Linked DNA regions of Elephas maximus indicus. The protein of the gene in region 1 purifies or fractionates together with the protein of each later gene. This does not show direct contact. Links are inferred from orthologs where the notes say so. Each region holds a gene or a part of one and is shown on either strand. Other genes may lie near its edges. The genes, in order: NPC1, SIGMAR1 and PON2.

What was found.
Region 2: the proteins of NPC1 (region 1) and SIGMAR1 purify together in Homo sapiens (affinity purification with mass spectrometry; 3 studies listed by BioGRID and IntAct, with this or other methods). This does not show direct contact. The link is inferred for Elephas maximus indicus from reciprocal best matches to the Homo sapiens genes NPC1 and SIGMAR1.
Region 3: the proteins of NPC1 (region 1) and PON2 purify together in Homo sapiens (affinity purification with mass spectrometry; 3 studies listed by BioGRID and IntAct, with this or other methods). This does not show direct contact. The link is inferred for Elephas maximus indicus from reciprocal best matches to the Homo sapiens genes NPC1 and PON2.

Annotation. Positions count from the first base shown.
Region 1 is NC_064829.1:29,736,098-29,743,491, forward strand, and holds the start of NPC1 (NPC intracellular cholesterol transporter 1), read right to left. Parts: upstream 3,045-7,394; 5' UTR 2,836-3,044; coding exon 2,779-2,835; intron 1-2,778. UniProt on the Homo sapiens protein: Intracellular cholesterol transporter which acts in concert with NPC2 and plays an important role in the egress of cholesterol from the endosomal/lysosomal compartment.
Region 2 is NC_064827.1:43,461,626-43,468,557, forward strand, and holds SIGMAR1 (sigma non-opioid intracellular receptor 1), read right to left. Parts: upstream 3,101-6,932; 5' UTR 2,868-3,100; coding exon 2,717-2,867; intron 2,568-2,716; coding exon 2,367-2,567; intron 2,245-2,366; coding exon 2,152-2,244; intron 1,291-2,151; coding exon 1,064-1,290; 3' UTR 189-1,063; downstream 1-188. Other genes in the region: GALT (galactose-1-phosphate uridylyltransferase), read left to right, coding at 6,260-6,341, 6,644-6,813. UniProt on the Homo sapiens protein: Functions in lipid transport from the endoplasmic reticulum and is involved in a wide array of cellular functions probably through regulation of the biogenesis of lipid microdomains at the plasma membrane.
Region 3 is NC_064826.1:65,314,703-65,321,946, reverse strand, and holds the start of PON2 (serum paraoxonase/arylesterase 2), read left to right. Parts: upstream 1-4,172; 5' UTR 4,173-4,287; coding exon 4,288-4,361; intron 4,362-7,244. UniProt on the Homo sapiens protein: Capable of hydrolyzing lactones and a number of aromatic carboxylic acid esters. Has antioxidant activity. Is not associated with high density lipoprotein.

The DNA.
Region 1 (7,394 bases):
AACCTTGTGAAGGGCAGTTAGGCTGCAGTCCTGTGATAGAACTGTAACAGTACTCAGACCAAAGCCAGGAGCTGCTATCACAATCTGTTCTGCTTCAAGGTTCCAATCCACCTGCAGGTATACTGAAAGCCTCTGCAACAAGGAGGACATTACTTTTTAAAATAACTACAAGTGTTTCTTGTTAAAGGCTTCCAGGCATTTTGCAAAAGTCATGACTAACCTCTGATGACCTATCCCAAATGTCCTAGGAGAGAAACTCTTCTGCCACCAGCCTTAGATACTTGTTGTTGCTGTTAGGTGCTGTCGAGTCACTTCCGACTCATAGTGACCCTACGTACAACAGAATGATGGAATTCACCGGCGTTCCTGGGAAACCCTATGGGCAGTTCTAGAGACTCTATAGGGTTGCTATCAGTCAGAATCGACTCCACGGCAACAGGTTTGGTTTGGTTTGGTTCCATCCTCAGGATTGTTGCCGTACTTGAGCCCATCTAAAAAAACTGGCCAGTGAAAAACTTTGATAAAAAGATTTAAAAGGATTTCAGATAAATTAAAGCTATTTAATAATATGAAGCCTATTAGGTCTTTATCTAAAACTCTAGGGAAACTGAATAGCTCTACTTTAGGGCACATAATTCCTTTTATTTCTTTGGTTTTTATCCAAGAGGTATGGTGATGGGGTCTCTCCGTATATCATGTCACTTAATAACCCCAGTAACTCTATTCTCAGAAGAGACTAAGGTTGAGAGAGCAACCTGCTCAAAGCTACAGAGCTAGTGAGTGGCCCACCTGTTGACCTCACCTCAAACCCCTTCCTTCCCAACCAGGTGCCCTTGGGTTCATTGCACTACCAGAAGTATGCTCTTGTACAACCTCACACTGCTGCCCTCCCCAAGCAACCACACACAGGAAGGAGCCACCTCTTCCCTTGGCTCTTCATCCTTCACTGGGTCAACATCACCTATCACCTCCCAGGAACCACACAGTAGAAGTTTAAAGAGAGGTTTTTCTAGTCCAGGGAACCTCTTAATCTATCTTCCTCTCTGATCCACTGGACCCCTCAACACTGACACTCCTGTTTGAGGGGGTTTGTGGGCACAAGGGCACAGTCCCCGGCTGTAACAGGATGTCCCAGAGGTTCACTTTTCCATTTTTTTTAAACTGTACTTTAGATGGACATTTACAGAGGAAACTAGCTTCTTATTAAATAATATACATATTGTTTTGTGACACTGGTTGTCAAACCCACAATATGTCAACAGTCTCCCCTTCTCAACCTTAGGTTCCCCATTACCAGCTTTCCTGTCCCCTCCTTCTTTCTCATCCTTGCCCCTGGGCTGGTGTGTCCATTTAGTCTCGTTTTGTTGTGTGGGCCTATCTAATCTGTGACTTCATTACTGAGCTATAAGGATGTCCAGGGGTCATACTCTTGGGGTTTCTCCAGTCTCTGTCTTTTTTTTTTTGTTAGTTAGAATTTTGTTGTACGTTTTTCTCCAGCCCTGTCCGGGAACCTCTATTGTGATCCCTATCAGAACAGTTGGTCATGGTAGCCAGGTACCATCCAGTTGTATTGAACTCAGTCTGGTAGAAGCTGTGGTACCTGTGGTCCATCGGTCGTTTGGACTTATCTTTCCCTTGTGTCTTTGGTTTTCTTCATCCTCCCTTGCTTCAGACAGAGTGAGACTAGTGGAGTATCTTAGATGGCTGCTTACACGCTTTTAAGACCCAGATGCTACTCACCAAACTAGAATATAGAACATTTTCTTTATAAACTATATTATGCCAGTTGGGCTAGATGTTCCCCAAGACCATGGTTCCCACCACTCTTTCATCCTAATCCAGTGTAATCAGCATTATATCCTCCAAACACTCCCACCCCAGTTTTCAAAGGGAAAACTCTGGACACACAAACAGCAATGAGGCACTCATGCCCAGGCTCCAAATCCAAGAGAATGCAGGTCCAGGGAGTGGGACGCCTGAGTTCCAGGTCCCATCCTGTCACTAGCTAGTATCCTGACAAGGGAATTCAATTGTCCCCTATGGACCTCAGTTTCCTGAGATACAGAAAAGTTGGGAAGAAGAAACCTGCACTCTTCACAACACCAAGCCGACTTACATAAAGCACTTTAGACTGTTCCGATTCAGTACTTAAAGAATTTTGTTTGTTTTCGTGGTCAGATCTTGTAAAAAAATTTATAAAGAGTTCATGTACATGTGGCAGGAAAAAAAAAGGCAGGGTAAATAAATAGGTCAAACCCTGGTGGTGGTGGTGTGGTTAAGTGCTACGACTGCTAACCAAAAGGTTGGCTGTTGGAATCCACCAGGCGCTCCTTGGAAACTATGGGGCAGATCTACTCTGTCCTGTAGGGTCGCTATGAGTCGGAATCGGCTCGACGGCAGCGGGTTTGGTTTTTTTTTTTTTTTTTTTTTGGTTACCCTTCTCTATCTTCTCTTCTTCTCCCTTCTGGTCCCAAAGCCTAAGCCCAGAATCAGGTGATCACAGCTGAAGCGAGCTCGAAACAGGTCAAACGAGCTGTCCCCAGTTACCCATCCTCTTCCAGATCACAAGGGAATAGAGCTTGGCAGGAGACAGACGAGAGAAGTGGGGGACCTCGGGGACCCCATCAGTCGACCAACTTCCCCAGAGCCGGCCGGGCCCGCGCCGCCTGGGGGTACCGGGCGCCTGAGCCGCGGCAAGGCAGGGGCACGGCCCGGCGCCCCCGACTCTGGGCCCACCACGTCCCCCACAGCCCGCTCGGGTCACCGGCGGCCGCTCACCTGCGCCAGACAGAGCAGCAGCAAGAGGATGCTGAGGGCCGGGCTGCGCGCTCTCATGGTGCCGCCGCACGGAGCTTGGTCACAGATGCTCGGGTCCGTTCGGCTCCACGTCCCGGGTGCCGCCTCACTTCCCTGGGCTGAGTTTGTGGACCTAGCGCCGGCTGAGCGAGGGAGCAAGCGCGGGCAGCTGAGAGCTGCGCGCGCAGGTCAGGAAGGGAGGAGGTGTCGCCGGTCCCTCCTCCTTCTGGGCGGGGCCGCTGCCGAGACTCCAGGGCCGACTCGGGGCGGGGCCGGGGGCGGGGCCGGGGCCGGGGGCGGGACTGTGCGGCACTGCCCAGGCGATTTCTCCGGGTACCGGCGTTGTAGGTCTCCTCCTGGGTGCGGCGTGGGGCTGGGGCTGGGGGTAGCTTCTGGGGTTCCCCAGACCTGGGCAAGCTGAACTTTTGGAATCCGACCCGGAGGATATTTCTGCAGTCGTGCCAACAGTACATGATTTTGGTGCTTTAACGGGTTTCCTTCCTTTTTGCCTCTCCTGTCCGCAACTGGAAACCCTGGTCGCATAGTGGTTAAGAGTTTGGCTGCTAACCAAAAGGTCGGCACTTCGAATCCACCAGGCGCTCCTTGGAAACTCTATGTGGCAGTTCTACTCTGTCCTATAGGGTCGCTATGAGTCGGAATCGACTCCACAGCAACGGTGTTTTTATCTGCAACGGATCGTAGGGATGGCGCGGGACCTGGCAGCGTTTAGTCCTGTTGTGCATGGAGTCGCCGTGAGTGAGTGAGACTCAAGGGCGGCTAACAATAACAGGTTGGAGGCGGCTGAGATAAGTGCTCGGAGCAGTTTCTCCTCCCAAACTCAGTCAGCCAAAAGGAATGGGGCACCAGCTCGGGGCGATGACGCACAATGGCCTGATTCTGTAGATCCGGAGCGCGGGTGGGGGGTGGGAGGCGGGAGCTCGGAGATGGGTGGAGCCCCTTAGTCACCCTAACTTTGTTTACTGTCAACGCAGCCGCGTTTGGAGAAAGCGTTAGAACCGCGCCACCTGCTGGCGGAGCAAAGCGTAGCAGTGAGCCCTTTGGCGCGGGGACACTCCCGGCGGGGGCCTGCAACGCCTATTTTGAAGCTCTAGGTGAAGTCGACGACGGCAGTGGGTTTTTGGTTTAGGTGAAGTTAGGTAACACGAAGATTGAAGTAGACGTGTCTTTGTTCATGAGTCTTGCACTTATATATACATATCTATATATTTGCATTTCACTTATTTTTTATTGTATACATTTCTGGTAACATTTTCCCTCGGATTTTAATTCTTCAGACCACTCAAAATCATCAGTCTTTTCCATTTTGAAGTTAAGGAAATGCAAGTAAGGATCTATTTACCCAAGAGTGGAAGCCAGTTTTGAAGGAAAAGACTATCCACCTGTATGAAAGAACAAAACCAGTGCAAGGTCTTACTACGATGGAGGTGACACTTGTTCTGTGTGCCCACCCTTACTCTATCAGTCTTAGAAGAAATACAAACAGAATGCTCCTTAGAAGCAAAGATGGAAAGACTTTGCCTTGTTTATTTTGGACACCTCATCAAGAAAGACCAATCGGTAGAAAAGGACATCATGTATGGTAAAGTGGAGGGTCACTGGAAACGAAGGAAACCCTCCATGAGATGAACAGACACAATAGCCCTAACAGTGGCCTCAAACATACCAACAGTCATGAAGATGGCGCAGAACTGGGCAACGTTTCGTTCCGTTGTACGTAAGGTCATCACGAGTCAAAGCCAACCCCATGGCAGCTAACAACAATCCCTACCTACGGAGGCTGTTTCAGTTGCTCTCTTGCCTCCCCACCTCCTCAGCCCTGACACATCCACCTGAATGCCCTGGTAGTGAAACTATAGGCATTTCCTCCGGACTTTCAGCCCTGGATCTTCCGTGACTACCTCCTGGCCCTCATTCAAATGTGTGCTCCCCCATTCCCCAGACTCCTGCACTTGGTGGTTCAGCTGATGACAAAGTAGTATGTTCTAATGTGGTGGCTTTCAAAGTGTGGTCACCTAATGGTCTCAGGGGACATCTACGTCGGTTAGCATAACATAGTACATAAAGAAAATGTTCTACATCCTACTTTGGTGAGTAGCATCTGGGGTCTAAAAAGCTTTTAAGTGGCTACCTAAGATACATCTATTGGTCCCATCCTGTCCGAAGCAAAGGAGAATACTAGTCCAAAGTACTAATGGACCACATGGACCACAGCCTCCACCAGCCTGAGCTCAGAAGAACTAGATAGTGCCCAGCTACTACCACCCACCACTCTGACGGGGATCTCAATAGAGGGTCCCAGACAGTGCAGGAGAAAAATGTAGAACAAATTTCAAATTCACAAAAAAGACCAGACTTACTGGTCCAACAGAGACTAGAGGAATCCCTGAGACTATAACCCCTGGAAAACCTGCTAACTCAGAACTGAAATCACTCCTGAAGTCCACCTTTCAGCCAAAGAGTAGACGGACCTATAAAACAAACAATAACACATGAGGGATGTGCTTCTTAGTTCAATCAACAAGACCAAATGGACAACACCTGCCCAAAAGCAAAGATGAGAAGGTAGGCAAGGACAGGAAAACTGGATGGATGGACACAGGGAAACCGGGGTGGAAAGGGGTAAAGTGCTGACACATTGCAGGGATTGCAACCAATGTCATAAAACAATTTGTGTATAAATTTTTGAATGAGAAACTAATTTGGACTGTTAACTTTCACCTAAAGCACAATTAAAAAAAAAAAAAGTGTGGTCACCTGACCAGCGGCATCAGCATCACTTGGGAACTTGTTAGATATGCAAATTCCCAGGCTACACCCCAGATCTGCTGAATCAGGAACTCTAGAAGTGGGGCCCAGCTTAACAGTTGATTTGGATGCAGACTCAAGTTTAAGAACCTCTGTTGTAATGTATTTCCTGGATCCTGGTAGGTTACTTATCCTTCTAATTTTCACAAAGTCTTTATGGAAAAAGAGAAAAAGAAAAACCTTACTAAGTAACTGATGTGAGTAAAATAAATTTCAGGCACCATATGAGACATGTGGGGGATGTGCAGGATTTTTTTTCTTTCTTTTTTTATTAATTTTGTTGTGAATATACACAGCAAAACATACACCAATTCAATTGTTTCTACATGTACAATTCAGTGACATTGATTACACTCTCCAAGTTGTGCAACCATTCTCACACACCTTTTCTCAGTTGTTCCCCCTCCATTAACATGAAGTCATGGTCCGCCTAAGGTTCCTATCTCATCTTTCAAGTTGCTCTTGTCAATTTGATCCCATCTAGATAGTTCTTAAGAGAATAATGCTCAAGGCATTTTTTTACTAGTTAAGCTAAACTATTGTTTGGTTTTAAGAAGACTTCAGGGAATGTTTTTGGTTTAAAGTTTAAAGCTTATCTCAGGGCAATAGTTTCAGGGGTTCATCCAGCCTCCATGGCTCCAGAAAGTCTGGAGTCTATGAGAATTTGAAATTCTGTTCTCCATTTTCTCCCTTTTGATAGGGATTCTTCTACATAATCTTTGATCAAAATGTTCAGTAATGGTAGCTGGGGACTATCCAGTTCTTCTGGTCTCATGGCAAAGAAGGCTGTTGTTCATGGAGGCAATTAGCCACACGTTCCATATCCTCCTCCTATTCCTGACTCTCCTTCTTCCTCTGCTGCTCCAGGCCAATAGAGGCCAATTGTTCCTAGATGTCCCCTTGCAAGCTTTTATGACCCCGGGCACTATGCAACAAACTAGGAGGTAGAACAGAAGCACTGAATAAGTTATTACACCAGTTAACTGGGATGTCCTATGAAACCATGACCCTAAAACTCCAAACCAAGCAACCAGATTCCCTGAGGGTTTTGGTTGTACATAAGCAACCTCAGCAGCTACTCTTTTTTTTCCCCATTGTAAGTATATCTATCACATGACTTTCACCAATTCAAGTTTTTACAGGTGTATGACTTAATGATAGCAATTATAGTAATCGGCTGTGCAACCCTACCCTTAATTGATGAGATTTTCCCATTACTGTTAATCCCTCATTCCCACTCTTCCTCCTGCCTCTGGTAAACCACTAATAAACTTTGGTCTCTATACTTTTTGATGGACAGAATTTTTTTTTAAATAATTTTTATTGTGCTTTAAGTGAAAGTTTACAAATCAAGTCAGTCTCTCACACAAAAACCCATATGTACCTTGCTACACACTCCCAATTATTCTCCCCCTAATGAGACAGCCCGCTGTCTCCCTCCGCTCTCTCTTTTCGTGTCCATTTCGCCAGCTTCTAACCCCCTCCACCCTCTCATCTCCCCTCCAGGCAGGAGATGCCAACATAGTCTCAAGTGTCCACCTGATCCAAGAAGCTCACTCCTCACCAGCATCCCTCTCCAACCCATTGTCCAGTCCAATCCATGTCTGAAGAGTTGGCTTCGGGAATGGTTCCTGTCCTGAGCCAACATAAGGTCTGGGGGCCATGACCACCGGGGTCCCTCTAGTCTCAGACCATTAAGTCTGGTCTTATGAGAATTTGGGGTCTGCATCCCACTGCTCTCCTGCTCCCTCAGGGGTTCTCTGTTGTGTTCC
Region 2 (6,932 bases), on another chromosome or scaffold:
GCCTAGGAATCTGTAGTCAATGAGCTTCCTAGTGATTCTATGCACACTTAAGTTTGAATCCATACTATAGTCCAAAGCTGTGGTCTTATAGATAGGGAAACTAAGGCACACAGCAATACAGAGGCCTTCCTTAGGTCTTCCAGGAGTTAGCAGCTCTTCCTGCTGCTCGGACAACACAAAGAAATGTAACTGTTTGACAGGTCTTTATTAACATAGAGGACAGAGAATGCAGCAGGGGCAGTGTCTGGAAGCTGTGAGGTGTGTGCGGAAGGGCGATGTGAGTGTGCAGAGCGGGCCTTCTCTAAGCCAGGGATGGCCTCTTGGACTCAGTGTCACCTCTTCAGGCCCTCTCCTCAGTAGTGGGCCCTGGGCTGGGGTCAGCCTCCCATCATACCCCCAAGCGGGGGATGGGGGTCCTTCAGGGTAGTAGGGTCCTAACCTCAGCATTCTCAAGTTCCTGATTCCCCAGCTTATTTGGTTGCTGATGGAGTTGGGGACAGTCCATGGGGCACTTGCATAGCAAGGAAGCAGAATGAGTGTAAGGCATATGGTGAGGGCAAGGGAGATGAAGGGGAAGGGCATCACAGCTACAGGGAAAGGAGGCCTCCAAAGGGCAGCTTCTCTTCTTCCTAGCCCCTCCAAATTACTGCTAGGTTGAGGGGTCAGACCCAGGCAGAGTGTAATACTCACCCCATCCCTAACTCCAGAGCCCTGATTGAGGGTGGGGAAGGTTTAGAAAGGCCCGAGTTAGAGAGTCAAGCTTATGCTATATGTGTTTGAACATGACTGCCCTCCTTGGTACACGTGGGGCTCCCTCTCTCAATGGGTGTGAGCACATGATTGCTGTCATACCTACAGATCTCAGTATCTGCATATGTGTTTCATATGTTCCCACCGGTCTCTGTGTTTGGATGTATAAGCATATTATGTCCCTGCTTGTACACCAGGAACTCAGTATCTGCATGGTATGAGTATGTTCCCAAACACATGGGCTCCAGCAAGTGGACATGTGCAGGCCTGCCCGCTCCTGTCCATCCACAGGTCCTCCTTCTGGCCCTGCTGGTCAGTGGTCCTGGCCAAAGAGGTAGGTGGAAAGCTCAAGCCGGAGGCCCCGGGCATAGGCACGAAGAGTATAGAAGAGAGTGAGGAAGTCTTGGGTGCTGAAGACTGTGTCAGCCAGTGCGAAGGCCAGGGTAGATGGGATGACACCCCGGCCGTACTCCACCATCCACGTGTTCGGCCCCCACTCCACAGCTGTTGCCTCTCCAGGCCCGTGCATCACTGTCTCCCCTGGGGGACAGGGAGCACCCATGTGAGAAGCCCAGCCCAGCCCAGCCCAGCCCTGCCCTGCCCCTCCATTGCTGCTGCTTCTATAGCCTTTTGGCTGTCTAGGTTGGAGAATAGAGAGGGAGCTTCAGGAAAGGAAAAAGCCCTACCTCACTGGCCTGGTCTACTATCTGGAAGAGTAAGAAGCCCAGATGGCCACTCCTACATATCCCTCTGTGGCATCACCTGACCCATGACTTCTCTTGGGGAAAGCCATGGAGGGCCATTGGGAAGCAGACCCATTTCACCTCCATCTCACCTGGCCATGGGCCACAGTATGAAAGTCATACCCAAGCCCCACTCAAGTCAGGCAGAAATCTAGCAAACCTTAGGCTAGGCCTGTTAGATAGGGAGGGGTGGTTAAAAGACTTGCGAGGCTTTCTGAGAAATGCAGCTATTGAATCCCGATGCCTGGGGTGCTTGTATCAATCAACCTCAAATTTACTTGAAAGTCCAAAGCTCAATTTTCTATGTAAATGCTTCATTATGGCGGGGGGGAAGACAACTGTTTGCCTTGAGGGTATGAGAGCATTTCTGATTACCCAACTGTCTCCTCCACAATTGTTGGATACTGGCTAAGTAGAATAGATAGATAAAAATCAGACATCTTTAATAGCAAGCTGTTATGTTTTTTTTTCTCTTTGTCAGAGGAAAGCAATAGGGGCCCTAGGCCCTGGTCCAACCAACAAACCACTTGTGGCTTAAGGGGGGGGACCACGGCGAGGACCCTCCAGGGCACCCTTTCCCAAAGCCATGGCTCCCTAACCCAACTGTGGACACACCCAGGTGGAGGGGACCCAGCTCTCTGACAGCCTTTCCACCCACCTGGATAGAAGACCTCACTTTTGGTGGTGCCCTCTCTCCACTGGTGGAAGGTGCCAGAGATGATGGTGTCCGAGATCTCAGCCCAGTAGCGCCCTGAGGGAAAATCAGATGAACATCGTATATCAGGGTATCCGCGGCGGCACATGATGGCGCCAAATATCAGAAACGAGGGTATGCCCCCCGGCCTCCTAGTCCGGCCCGCCGCCAGTACTGACCAGAGTGGCCGCTGGAGCCCAGGGCGGTGCCAAAGAGCAGCACGTACTCGGACAGCGAGGCGTGCAAAAGGCACATGGCGCCCATCCAGCCACCCGCGTTCACGAACACCCATTGCAGCTCCTCGTCGGGCAGCACGTGGCCTGGGTGCAGTCGCCGCAGCTCCACGATCAGCCGAGAGAAGGCCAGCTCGTGGTCCAGCCCTGGCGAGGGCAGAGGAGTGGCGGAGTTAGGGCCGGCATCGGTCCTGGACTCGGGGACCGTACTCTCGGCCGGCCCGCCTCCTGACCAGCCCCGGGTCTCTCTCGTCCACCCGGGCTCGACCCAGACTGCCCGTCTCCCGCCCGCTCACCCGCATACTGCCGTGCCAGCTGCGCGATCTCTTCGTGCTGGAAGACGAAGCTCTGCGTACCCAGCCAGAGCCAGACGACTTGCGCCAAAACAGCCGCGGCAGCCAAAAGCAGCGCGGCCCACGCCCACCGCCGACCTACGACCCACTGCATCCTGGATGGCGGCCTGGCACAGCGCGGCGTAGGAGGCGACCTGGAGTCGAGCCGGAGCCTGTGGCCGTGACACTGCCTACAAGCCCAAGGCGCTCCGCCACCGACCAGCTCCGCGGCTACCGCCGTGGTATGGCTCGATCTGGCCAATCGGAACGGCCTAGGCACCCGAGCACCGCCCCTCGGGCGGAACCATTTCCTCGAGGGGAGAGCGGAGAGGTGAGGCGGCACGCGCACCTGAGGCGAGGGGGCGGGCCAAAACGTCGTCTTGGCGGCTGACGTCGAGGACGCCAGGCAGGGTCTCTCCTAACGCAACGCTGCATGGAGTCGGTTTGGGCGGAGTGAGGCCGGAATGGACTGACCCGCCTAAGCCCACTGGCTGGTGAAGCAGGCGATCCCGGAAGCAGAGCCTTCCGGGATCTGTGATTATTACCGCCTGGTTTTGCTAGCACGGAACCGGGAGTGGGGGGCGCTGGGGGGAGAACGCAGTTCATCCTGGGGGCGTAGGGAAGGCTGGCGGGGACACCAACGGTGTCTTTAAGAAAGATGGGAACTTAAGGTGATGGAAAATTTGGCAACGGATACTGGTGATGGCTGCACAACACCGTTAATGTAATTGGTGTCACCAAATTGTACACGTGAAAAATTGTACATGTTGAATTGGCAAATGTGTTATATATATTTTTACAAAGATTAAAAAAAAAAAAAGATGGGGCAGGCTTTCCAGCTTAGGGGACCAAGATTGTTCTGAAAGACAAAGTGTGAGAAGGGGGCCTTGTAAATCCCTGAGGGTTATCAGTTGGGGAGTGATGAGATCACATTTGGGGCTACAGAGTAGAGATTAAATTGGAGGGGGGCAAGATGAGAGTCAGGGAGATCGTGACTATGGAAGCAGCAGTCAAGAAATCAAAGGACCTATTGCATTGGGCAAATCTGCTACAAAAGACCTCTTTAAAGTGTTAAAAAGCAAAGATGTCACTTTGAGGACTAAGGTGCAACTGACCCAAGCCATGGTATTTTCAATTACCTCTTATGCATTTGAAAGCTGGACAATGAATAAAGGCCAAAACTATGGTGTTGGCGAAGAATATTGAATATACCGTGGGCTGCCAGAAGAACAAACAAATCTGTCTTGGAAGATGTGTGCAGCCAGAATGCTCCTTAGAAGTGAGGATGGCAAGATTTCCTCTCACTTTGAACATGTTATCAGCAGGGACCAGTCCCTGGAGAAAGCAGAGGGTGAGCAAAAGAGAGGAAGACCGTCAACAACATGAATTGACACGGTGGTTGCAACAATGGGCTCAAGCATGACAACAATTATGAGGATGGCCCAGGACCTAGCAGTGTTTCATTCTGTTGTACTTGGGTCACTATGAGCTGGAACCAACTTGGTGGCACCTAACAACAACAAAGATGAGAGTCAGGGAGACCATGACTATGGTCCAAGTGAGAGAGGAGGTCTGTGTCTGTAGAGATGGAAAAAAGAAATGAGCGTGAGAAGTACATTGGAAACAAAGTTGGGAGGACTTGATTCCCTCTTCCTGGAATACTCTTTTCCCTCCATTCTAACTCCCCCTTATTTGGCTAACATCCTTGTTCATGCCCAATGGGCAGCTGAGTACTCTGGTCTGGAGCTCAGATCCAGTCAGAGAGCTAGGAGTTGTCATTCATTCAGGCAACAGATGTTTTCTTAGCACCTGTATGTACCAAGTTCTGTGGTGGCTGATATGGCAAGCATAATTCCCAACCCATCTTAGAGATCTCATGGGGGAGCCTACATAAAAGGTGGTAATTAAAACCTAAGAAAGTGAATAAAATCTCACAGGAAGGGAGTACAGAGAAAGATAAAGCCAAGCCTAGAGCCAGCACTTAAGAGATAGAGGAAGGAAGAAGTGACCAAAAAGGAAGAGAAGTAAAAGAAATAAAAGAGGCAGCATAGTGCAGTGATTAAGCAATAAGCCTTGGAGGTGGACTGCCTGGGTTCAAAGCTCGGCTCCTGCTACCTACTACTTCTGTTATCTTGAACAAGTTACACTCTGTGACCTAGTTTCCTCAACTATAAAATAGGATAAAGAACCTACCTCACAAGTGCTGTTATGAAGATTAAATAAGTTAATATTTATAAAGCAATTAGTGCCTGGCATGTGGTTATGTGGTGAGCATTATATGTGTTAGTAATAAAAATAAAATATAAAGGAGAAGAGAACTGGAAGAGAGTAGTCTCACACATGGGAGTAACAGAATGAAGGGTCAACACAGTCAAAAGTAACTGAGAGGTCCAGTAAAGTGATGGGAAGTGGTCATGAGATTTCTCAGTAGGGGCATGTGGCAGAGACAATGTTAAGCATTCATAAATCTATTTCCTTTTGCTCTCAAGCAAACGGATTACATTCCACAGTCTACTTGGTAGTTAGAAGGAACCATGTAATAGGCAGAAATAATATATGGCACTTACAGGTCTGGCTCCAAAAGTCTCCAGTGAAATTACTTACCTTCTCACTCTACCTCATCTATTGTCTTGGATCTAGTGGAGAATTTGAGGCCCTAGGAAATGGCAGAGCTACTAGATGGATGGAGCCTGGGTCCCTGAAAGCTGCATGGAACAGAGTCTCCCCCCGCCCCGCCCCCCCCCCCCCCCCCCCGTGAACTGTGGTGCTACGCGATTGAGTTTTGGGGGTTGTTTGTTACACCAATGGGTTTGAATTTTTTTTTTTTTGGTATAGCCCTCTTACCCATCCCACTGTGCTTTTGGTCTCTGTGTATGTGTGTATGTGAGAGAGATATAATACGGTTACTTAGCCTTTTTGGCAAACCTATTTCTGCTGCCTGGTGGGGAAAGGGTACGGAAATGCTAAGTATCCATTCCTCCCGGTAACATCTGAGGTCAGGGTTCTGATATAGCAGATCAAGCCCCCCCGCCCCCCACCGCAAAGTAGACGCTGAGCAGGGAACTGACGTGATTGTGGATCCAGGAGTCATGCACTTACTCTGCCTTAGAACGTAAAATGTGGGAAGGCAGAAACCATGCCTGACTTGTGCACATAGGGATAGTCCTTGTGCCACGCACAGCCTAGGTGCCTGGCATATGGTAGATATTCAGTAATATTTGTTGAGTGAATGACCAAATAAATAAATGAATGCAGCAAAGAGTTCTTGTAAGCATCCAGGCATCGAGATACTCTGCAGTAGGCAGCTTTCACAAAGGTTCTTCCAGAAGAGAGGTTTCCACCCGAGATAAGAGTGCCTCTCGCGAGCTCCTCCCCCAGGAGGCCGGGCGGGCCTCTCAAGCAGTCACGTGCTGGCGACCGGCCAATCGGTAGGGGCGGGGCAGGCCCCGACTGGAAGGGCGAGGGGCGGCCCGGCAGACGTTCCAGTGGGATCTCCGGGTTGGCGTAATGTCGCTTTCTGGAACCGGCACTGGGCAGCGCCAGCAGGCGTCAGAGGCGGACGCCACAGAAACAACTTTCCGGGCGAGTGGTAATTGCAGGGCGGCCGGGACCCACAGGGACGCGGAGCGGAGCCCAGCCCTTATTCTGGACGTTCTCTCCCCACCCGCAGGGTCCGAACGCCCACGCTTGGCCAGGCCGGCGGGGCGAAGGGAGACCCCGGTGTTTAGGCTGCAGGCCAGGCGACGCTGGGAAGGTCCAAGCCCGGACCTTTGGGTCAGGAGCAGGGCGGGACCGAGAGGGCGCCTCTGAGCTAGGGCTGCTAGTCGGTGAGACCCAGGGGATAGCGGGCGGTACAGCGCTTGCTGATTGACCTTGACCGTCTGCCCCTAGAGCATCAGCATATTCGCTACAATCCGCTGCAAGATGAGTGGGTGCTGGTGTCAGCTCACCGCATGAAGCGGCCCTGGCAGGGACAAGTGGAGCCCCCGCTTCTGGAGACAGTGCCGCGCCATGACCCCCACAACCCTCTGTGTCCTGGGGCCACACGAGCCAACGGAGAGGTAAGCTTTTAGAGCCCACATTCGCTGGGCCAGCACGAGTGGCACCCACTTAGAACTGCCCCTCACCGACGGGGCTGTGGACCTCCTTCTGAGTCAGATCCCATCAAGCCTTTGTTTGT
Region 3 (7,244 bases), on another chromosome or scaffold:
TGTATTTTACAAAAGTGTCAGTCTGTGACAAATTGGAAATAAAGAAAAACTCGTCCTTCACTAGACAGTTTGAGAAGCACTGACATAAGGTATCATTATTTTTGAAATTTTGCTTAAAAACCATAAAATTTCTAATTATAATCTAATCTTAAGTTATTATTTGATAAAGACTGTTCATACCAAGTATAAGGAGTTGCCAGCATATAAACAGGTTCCAGGGAAATTTGTTTTATATTCAGTAACTTGGTTATTTGGTACTCAGAACCAATTTTCCACATGAAATAACATAAACTGGGGGTTATGTTCTTGGTGTAGCCTATAAATCCCAGTTATCTCAAAACATTGTTAAGCTCTCTTATAACATTTAATAGCCAGTAATAACAGATATAATATTCTTAGAGGAGCCCTGGTGGTACAGTGGTTAAAGTGCTGGGCTGCTAACCAAAATGTTCTTTGTTCGAACCCACCAGCTGCTCCACGGGAGAAAGATGTGGCAGTCTGCTTCTGTAAAGATTTACAGTCTTAGAAACTGTATAGGGCAGTTCTACTCTGTCCTGTAGGGTTGCTGTGAGTCAGATGGCAATGGGTTTAGTTTTAGGGGCCCTGGTGGCGCGGCAGTTAAGATCTATGGGGAGCTACAGCTGCTAACCAAAAAGGTTGGCAGTTTGAATCTACCAGCCACTCTTTGGAAACCCTGTGGAGAAGTTCTGATCTGTCCTATAGGGTTGCTATGGGTCAGAATCGACTTGATGGCAATGGGTTTTATGACATTCTTGGGGACACTGATGGTTCAGTGGTGACATTCTTGCCATATTTACAGGAAACTGGGCTTGATTCCAGCCGGTGAACCTAACGTGACACTTGTCTGTCAGTGGAGGCTTGTGTGTTGCTATGATGCTGAACAGGTTTTAGCAGAACTTCAAGAATAATAGGGACTGGGAAGAAAGGCGTGGCCATCTACTCCAAAAATCAGCCAGTGAAAACCCTACGGATCACAACAGTCCAATCAGCAACCAGTCATGGAGATTGTGCAGGACCAGTAGCATTTTCTTCCATTGCACATGGGTGACCATGAGTTGGGAGCAACTCAGAGGCAGCTAGCAACAAACCCCATAACGTAACAACTGGAAAAGATATATGTTTCTGATTTCCTAATCGGAAAATATCTCTTCCCACCCACCTGTGAGAAATGATGATTTCTAGCCCTAGCATGGTAGTGGGGCTGAGAAGATAGAGCTTGTGGGAGCTCATTGGTCATGTTAGTAAAAATTGAAATGACGTTTCTCTAAGATTCTCTAAGATTGTGGTTAGGTAGGTTTTGCTGGACTCGAAAGCCCTGGTTCTTTACCACAACTGCCTCTGTGCTAAATTCCAGGACACTGTTCTCTTTGGAATAGCTTGGCTGCTTGCCAAAAGGTGAGCAGTTTGAATCCACCAGCTGCTCCTTGGAAACCCTATGGGGCAGTTCTACTCTGTCCTATAGGATTGCTGAGTTGGAATTGACTCTACGGCAACAGGTTTGGTTTGGCTTTGGTTCTCCTTGACTTCCCAGCACCAAGATGGCAAATAGGGTTCATCCTGGATTGAGATCTGTCAGTGGCCACTTCAGGGATTTGTATTTCTCTTTTTCTTTTGTTTTTTGAAAAGATTGTGAGGACAAGTCTGGTCTTGGTAAGAAATTAGTGATGTCTGACATGGGCAAGGGGAGGAGTCAGCACTAGAGCTATTTTTTTTTACAATCTTGAGACCAGCCTAAAAAATGCAGACATTCTACACTTTAATTTCTGTGTAATAGCCAAAAAACAGACCAAACTATGAAGAACATGACTTTTCTAAAAATGGGGAATGATAAAAGGGAAATAACCTTATAGAATAGCATGCAACTAAAACTAAACCAAACCCACTGCCATCAAGTTGATTCTCACTCACAGCGACTCTATAGGACAATGTAGAACTGCCCCCATACGGTTTCCAAGGAGTGCCTGGTGGATTTGAACTGCCGACCTTTTGGTTAGTAGCTGTAGCTCTTAACCATTAGACCACCAAGGTTTCCAGCATGCAACTAGGTTTATCTTATTTAAACAATCTTGGGTTTTCTCATTTTGTGACACATGTAGGGAGTCCTCTGAGTCTGGCTCCTGATTTAGAGTCCATGAGGCATAGGTTTTTGTATTGCCTGTATCCAGGAATCCTTGAGAATAAGGCTTGCAGACTGGCCAAGGGAGAAGCACAGGCAGTTGTTACCGACACTCTGTTTTAGGTCCTCATTTTACATTCTGATTTAATATTTGAGGCTCTTCACTTCTCCAGTGATTGACATCAAAAAACGTCCCTGCCTACCTATACAGATATGCCCCTTTCCACCCCTACCTACACAGACATAGCTTTACCCTATGGAAGGATTCTTTTGTTGTTGTTTGTTGAGAACATACACAGAAAAACATACACCAATTCAACAATTTCTACATGTACAATTTAGTGGCATTGATTACATTCGAGTTGTGCAACCATTCTCACCTTGCTTTTTTGAGTTCTTCCTCCCCCACTAACATAAACTCACTGTACCCTAAAGCTCCTATCTAATCTTTCCAGTTGCTGTTATCAATTTGGTTAAGGAAGGATTCTTAACGCAAGTTACGAAAGGATAGAATTCAGTGGGGTTCATACACCTGGATGAAAAAAAAAATTTTAATTTCACATGGTGCAAATGTTTAATATGATTGGCTGCTAACCAGAAGGTTGGTGATTCAAGTCCACCCAGAGGCACCTCAGAAGAATGGTCTGCTTATCTACTTCCAAAAAATCAGCCATCGAAAACCCTATGGAGCATGGTTCTACTCTGACACACATGGGGTTGCCATGAGTCAATTATGAAAGTAGACAACAAGCTCAGTGGTATTACCAGTACTTCTGACTTTGTTACAAATAGAAATGGCAGTTATTTTCATTATTACATTACAGTTATGGCAGATATCTCGAAATAACATTTAGGCTTATCACTATTTGAAAGAATGGTGCTCCATTTTGTTATTTAATATGTCAATAATGTAGCACACATAATACTATAGCAAAAAATTGTTTTTGTTAATATTTTGATAGTTGCATTTCGAGTCATTGGTTTCCTTTGCAATCCTATGTATTTTATTATATACACTCACAAACATTATTCTGAGAAGGTATCTGTAGGCTCACCAGACTGTCAAAGAGGCATATCACACAAAAAAGGTAAAGCCCCTGGACCTTCGAAGGACAACTGTATCCACCATCCAGTAGAACTCAATATTCATTAGGCCTGAATTAGGCATAAGCACAGACAGAAGGAGGGGAGTCATTTTTGGAGGGAGGCCTTAGGGGGAAGGTGAGAAATTGGCGTCTGCTTTTATTTACTGGTTGTTAGTGAAATCGTTGTTGAGAATTGTTTTAACTGTGACATTTCTGCCTACATACTGTGGTGCTGGGCAAAATGGAAGGCAACGGTGACCTAGCGGTGCCTGGGTCTCCGCTATCAGACCTTCCACAGGCTATAGGGTGAAAAGTAAACACTGAAAATCATTAGCAGCTTATTTCTGATCTACTCATGTATAACTGCCTCAGGCTTAGTGGGTAAGTTTCTCTTTGATACATATACATATGTATATGTTTTCCTTTATTTCTTCACGTTGGTAAAGTTAAAAATAAATTAAAAAAAAAACTTTTAGTCCCATAAACTGGGTTTGGATCAAAAAGAAGTGTCTAAATCCTTAGGTCTCTAGGCTAGATGAAGTATTACTAAAAACAGGATGTTCCTTTCCTCTCATTACCATCCTGTTGTAAAAAGTGGTAATTCCGACGTGAGATACTTACATGTTCGTTTCCTTTTTTTTTTTCCTGGTAATTAAAAAATAAAAAATATTAGTTTCTTATCAGAATAGCGCGTAAGGAACCTCTTGGAAGAGTGGGAAGTGAGAATGGTACGCATACTGCTTTTGGGTTTTGTGTGGGCTGGTTGTTCGGAAAAGGAGGAGAGGGAATTCCAAGTTTCAGCCGTCAGCTTAGACCAGGGCATGGGGGACGGTTCCCCGTGCCATGGAAAGTATCTGGGGAAGTATGCTTTGGGGGACATAGGTTTCTGGGGACAAAGGCCGAGGGCTGGGCCGAGGGCGGAGCCTCCGTGGCCCCGGGACAGGGGCCCCGCAGAAGCCGGTGACGGGGCGGAGCCCGGCCAGGCGCCGGCGTAACAGGGAAGCGGGCACCGCCCGTTGCACTCCCTGCCCAGGCCGGACGAGGCGTGCGCCCGGCTCCCGCGCCATGGGGCGGCTGGTGGCTGTGAGCCTGCTGGGGATATCGCTGGCGCTCCTGGGCGAGAGGTTCCTTGCCCTCAGGTAGGTGAGGCCTTCTCCAATGGAGCCCTCGTGCGCGCAGCCAGGCCAGCGAGGTGTGCCCCCGGACACCCCTCCCCGGCAGCCTGCCCGGGCCCCTGGGTCCCCAGGCTCGGTTGCGGGAGCCCGCAGGCAGCCGCCGGCAAGGGCGGAGGCCGGGATTCCAGAGGCGCGATTCTGGGGCCTGGGACCCTCGGCAGGAGTTGAAGAACTTTTGATTGTCTCTGCTCACTAGTTAGTTGAATATCCCCGCCCCCACGCTCAGCTTTTGGTTAAACCAGCCAAGTTAGGACAGAATCTGGGCAACCTTCTAGACAGTTTCTAAGCCTCTGCTGCTTTCTTTTCAGCCTAGGTTGACAAGCTGTTGCTTTAACGTAATGTTTTAACTTAGAACAAAAGTAATTACTCATGCATTGAAACTTTAATTATAAAGACTTATTTGAGGTCATTGGTATTGCTTTTCTTTTGTTGCTCACGCCAGCCCGCGTCCTTAGTAAAATTGTTCTTCATGCTTCTCTGCATAGTTTGAGAAACTTCTGCTCTCTAATCCTGGCCCTGTAGATCAAAAACACTTGAGATACTCAGCTACTGCTCCTACATCACTTCCGTATTTACCTATTCACTTGGGAACCCTAAAGTTCAGAATGCCGAATACATGCAGGCACTACTACAGCTCACATTTTGGTTATAGCCAAAAAAAAAAAAAAAACTGCTGGTGGGTAGACATCATATTTTTTTAAGGTACCAATTCAAATCTTATAAGCCTCATGAAAAAAATTTCAAGAAATCTGGAACACCTAACGATGGATAATATGCTTTTCTAGGTACTTGTAATAGAGTCCTAAGGCATTTACTGTATTGTAAGGGAGGAAGAAATTAAATATATATCCAGGACAGATATAAGCAAACCCCTATAAGGCTTGAAGAGGAGGGATTACCTTCACTGAAGATGGAGTTGAAGAAGGAGGAGGAGACATTGACATTGGCCTTGAAGGATGGGTGGAGCACTCTGGGGATGAAGTAGGCCATACCAGATGGAAAGTGCAGTGTGAGAAAGGGCAGTAAGATGGGAAAGTTAGGAGACTAAAAATAGACCTATTGGAGAGTAGTATAAAGTTAAGGGATGAGAACAGTAGAGGATGGGTAAGGATAGGTTTCGAGACTGTTAAAATATAGGTTGAAAAGTTGGCAAAGGGAGACTATTGATATATATATATATTTCTTGATATATATTTTTTTAAAAAGGATTGTGTGTAACCAGTTGGAAAGAGCCCTGGTGGTACAATGGTTAAAGCACTCAACTGCAAACCAAAAGATCAGTAGGTTGAACTCACCAGCTGCACGGAAAGAGAAAGATGTGGCGGTCTGCCTCCATAAAGATTTAAAGCCTTGGAAACCCTATGGGGTAGTTCTACTTCATCCTCTAGGATCACCGTGAGTCGGAGTTGACTCAACGGCAGTGGGTTTGGTAGGTAACCAGTTACGTTTTCTAGAGATGAACCTGGAAGGATGGAGTGGAGTAGAGCAGTGGTTCTCCATTCCGGCTGCACATCTGGGTCTGCTGAAAGGCTGATGTATAGGTCTCACTCCCAGAGTTTCTGATTCATTTGGTCAGGGTAGGGCCCAGGCATTGGTAGTTTTTATTTTTAAAGGCTCTCCTGATAATTCTAATGTGCAGTCAGGGTTAGAAGTACTAGAACACAGAAGAGTATGCTAGTTATCTGTGGAGTCAACTCCAACTCATGGTGACAGAGTAGGACTGTGTCCATAGAGTTTACAATGACAAATTTTTTTGGAAGTAGATCACCAGGCCGTTTTTCCTAGGTGCCTCTGGGTGCACTAGAACCTCTGACCTTTTGATTAGCAGCCAATCGTGTTAACCGTTTGCATCACTCAGAGACTCCAGAGAGCATAGATACAGGGAAACTAGTTAAGACACTGCAGTACTTTGGAGAGAATAACAAAAGTCCAAACTCCTGAATCCCAGGGATGACAGGGAAGTCAAAGGTGATACTAGAGTTTTGGACTCAACTGTCTAGTGGCTTCATCTGATGAAAAAAGGATGCAAGGAGAGGAGTTACATGTATGGGTAGGGGGTGCCGGATATGAAGGAGGAGGCTTAGAGGTAGGATATGGACCTCCTGAGCTTACCTTTCATGTTATGTAAATATCAATCCTGCTCTGCAGACCATTCCTGAATTGGATGATTTTGTATAATCTGTCCTACCCTCAGTTTCAAAGACAAATCAAAAAACCCAAACTCGTTGCTGTCTAGTTGATTTCGACTCATAGCAACCACCCAAATTCACAAGCCCGTTAAGTTGTCACTGATGTTCACACTACCAAGTTAGAGTTTTCTCCATTAACAGTAAATGTTTTTCTCTTCTTATTAATTTTAAGGTTTTAAATTTAAGCCCTTGAATGAAAACTGTTATAGTTGCAAACTAAGAAAAGGTAAATAAGGCTTATTGACATAGAACACGCCTGATAGGTAATTTATAATTTATTCATCTTTTCTTAATAATGACTGTATGATAAACTTTATTGGGTAATAACTTTATAGGGCAGTAACTTTATTGGATAAGAGGCCTGGTGGTAGAATGGTTAAGCACTTGGCTGCTAACTGAAAGGTTGGTGGTTCAAACCTACCCAGCGGCTATACAGGAGAAAGACCTGGCAATCTGCTTCCGTAAAGATTACAGCCAAGAAAACCCTCTAAGGGCAGCTCGACTCTGTCACATGGTTGCTATGACTCAGACAGAGTCAACTCGATGGCACCCAACAGCAACAACTTTATTAGATAATTGAAGCCCCAAATAAGCTGACGTGAGGATGTTGGTTTGGGATGAGAGTTGCTAGATTTAGCAAATAAAAATACAGACTGGC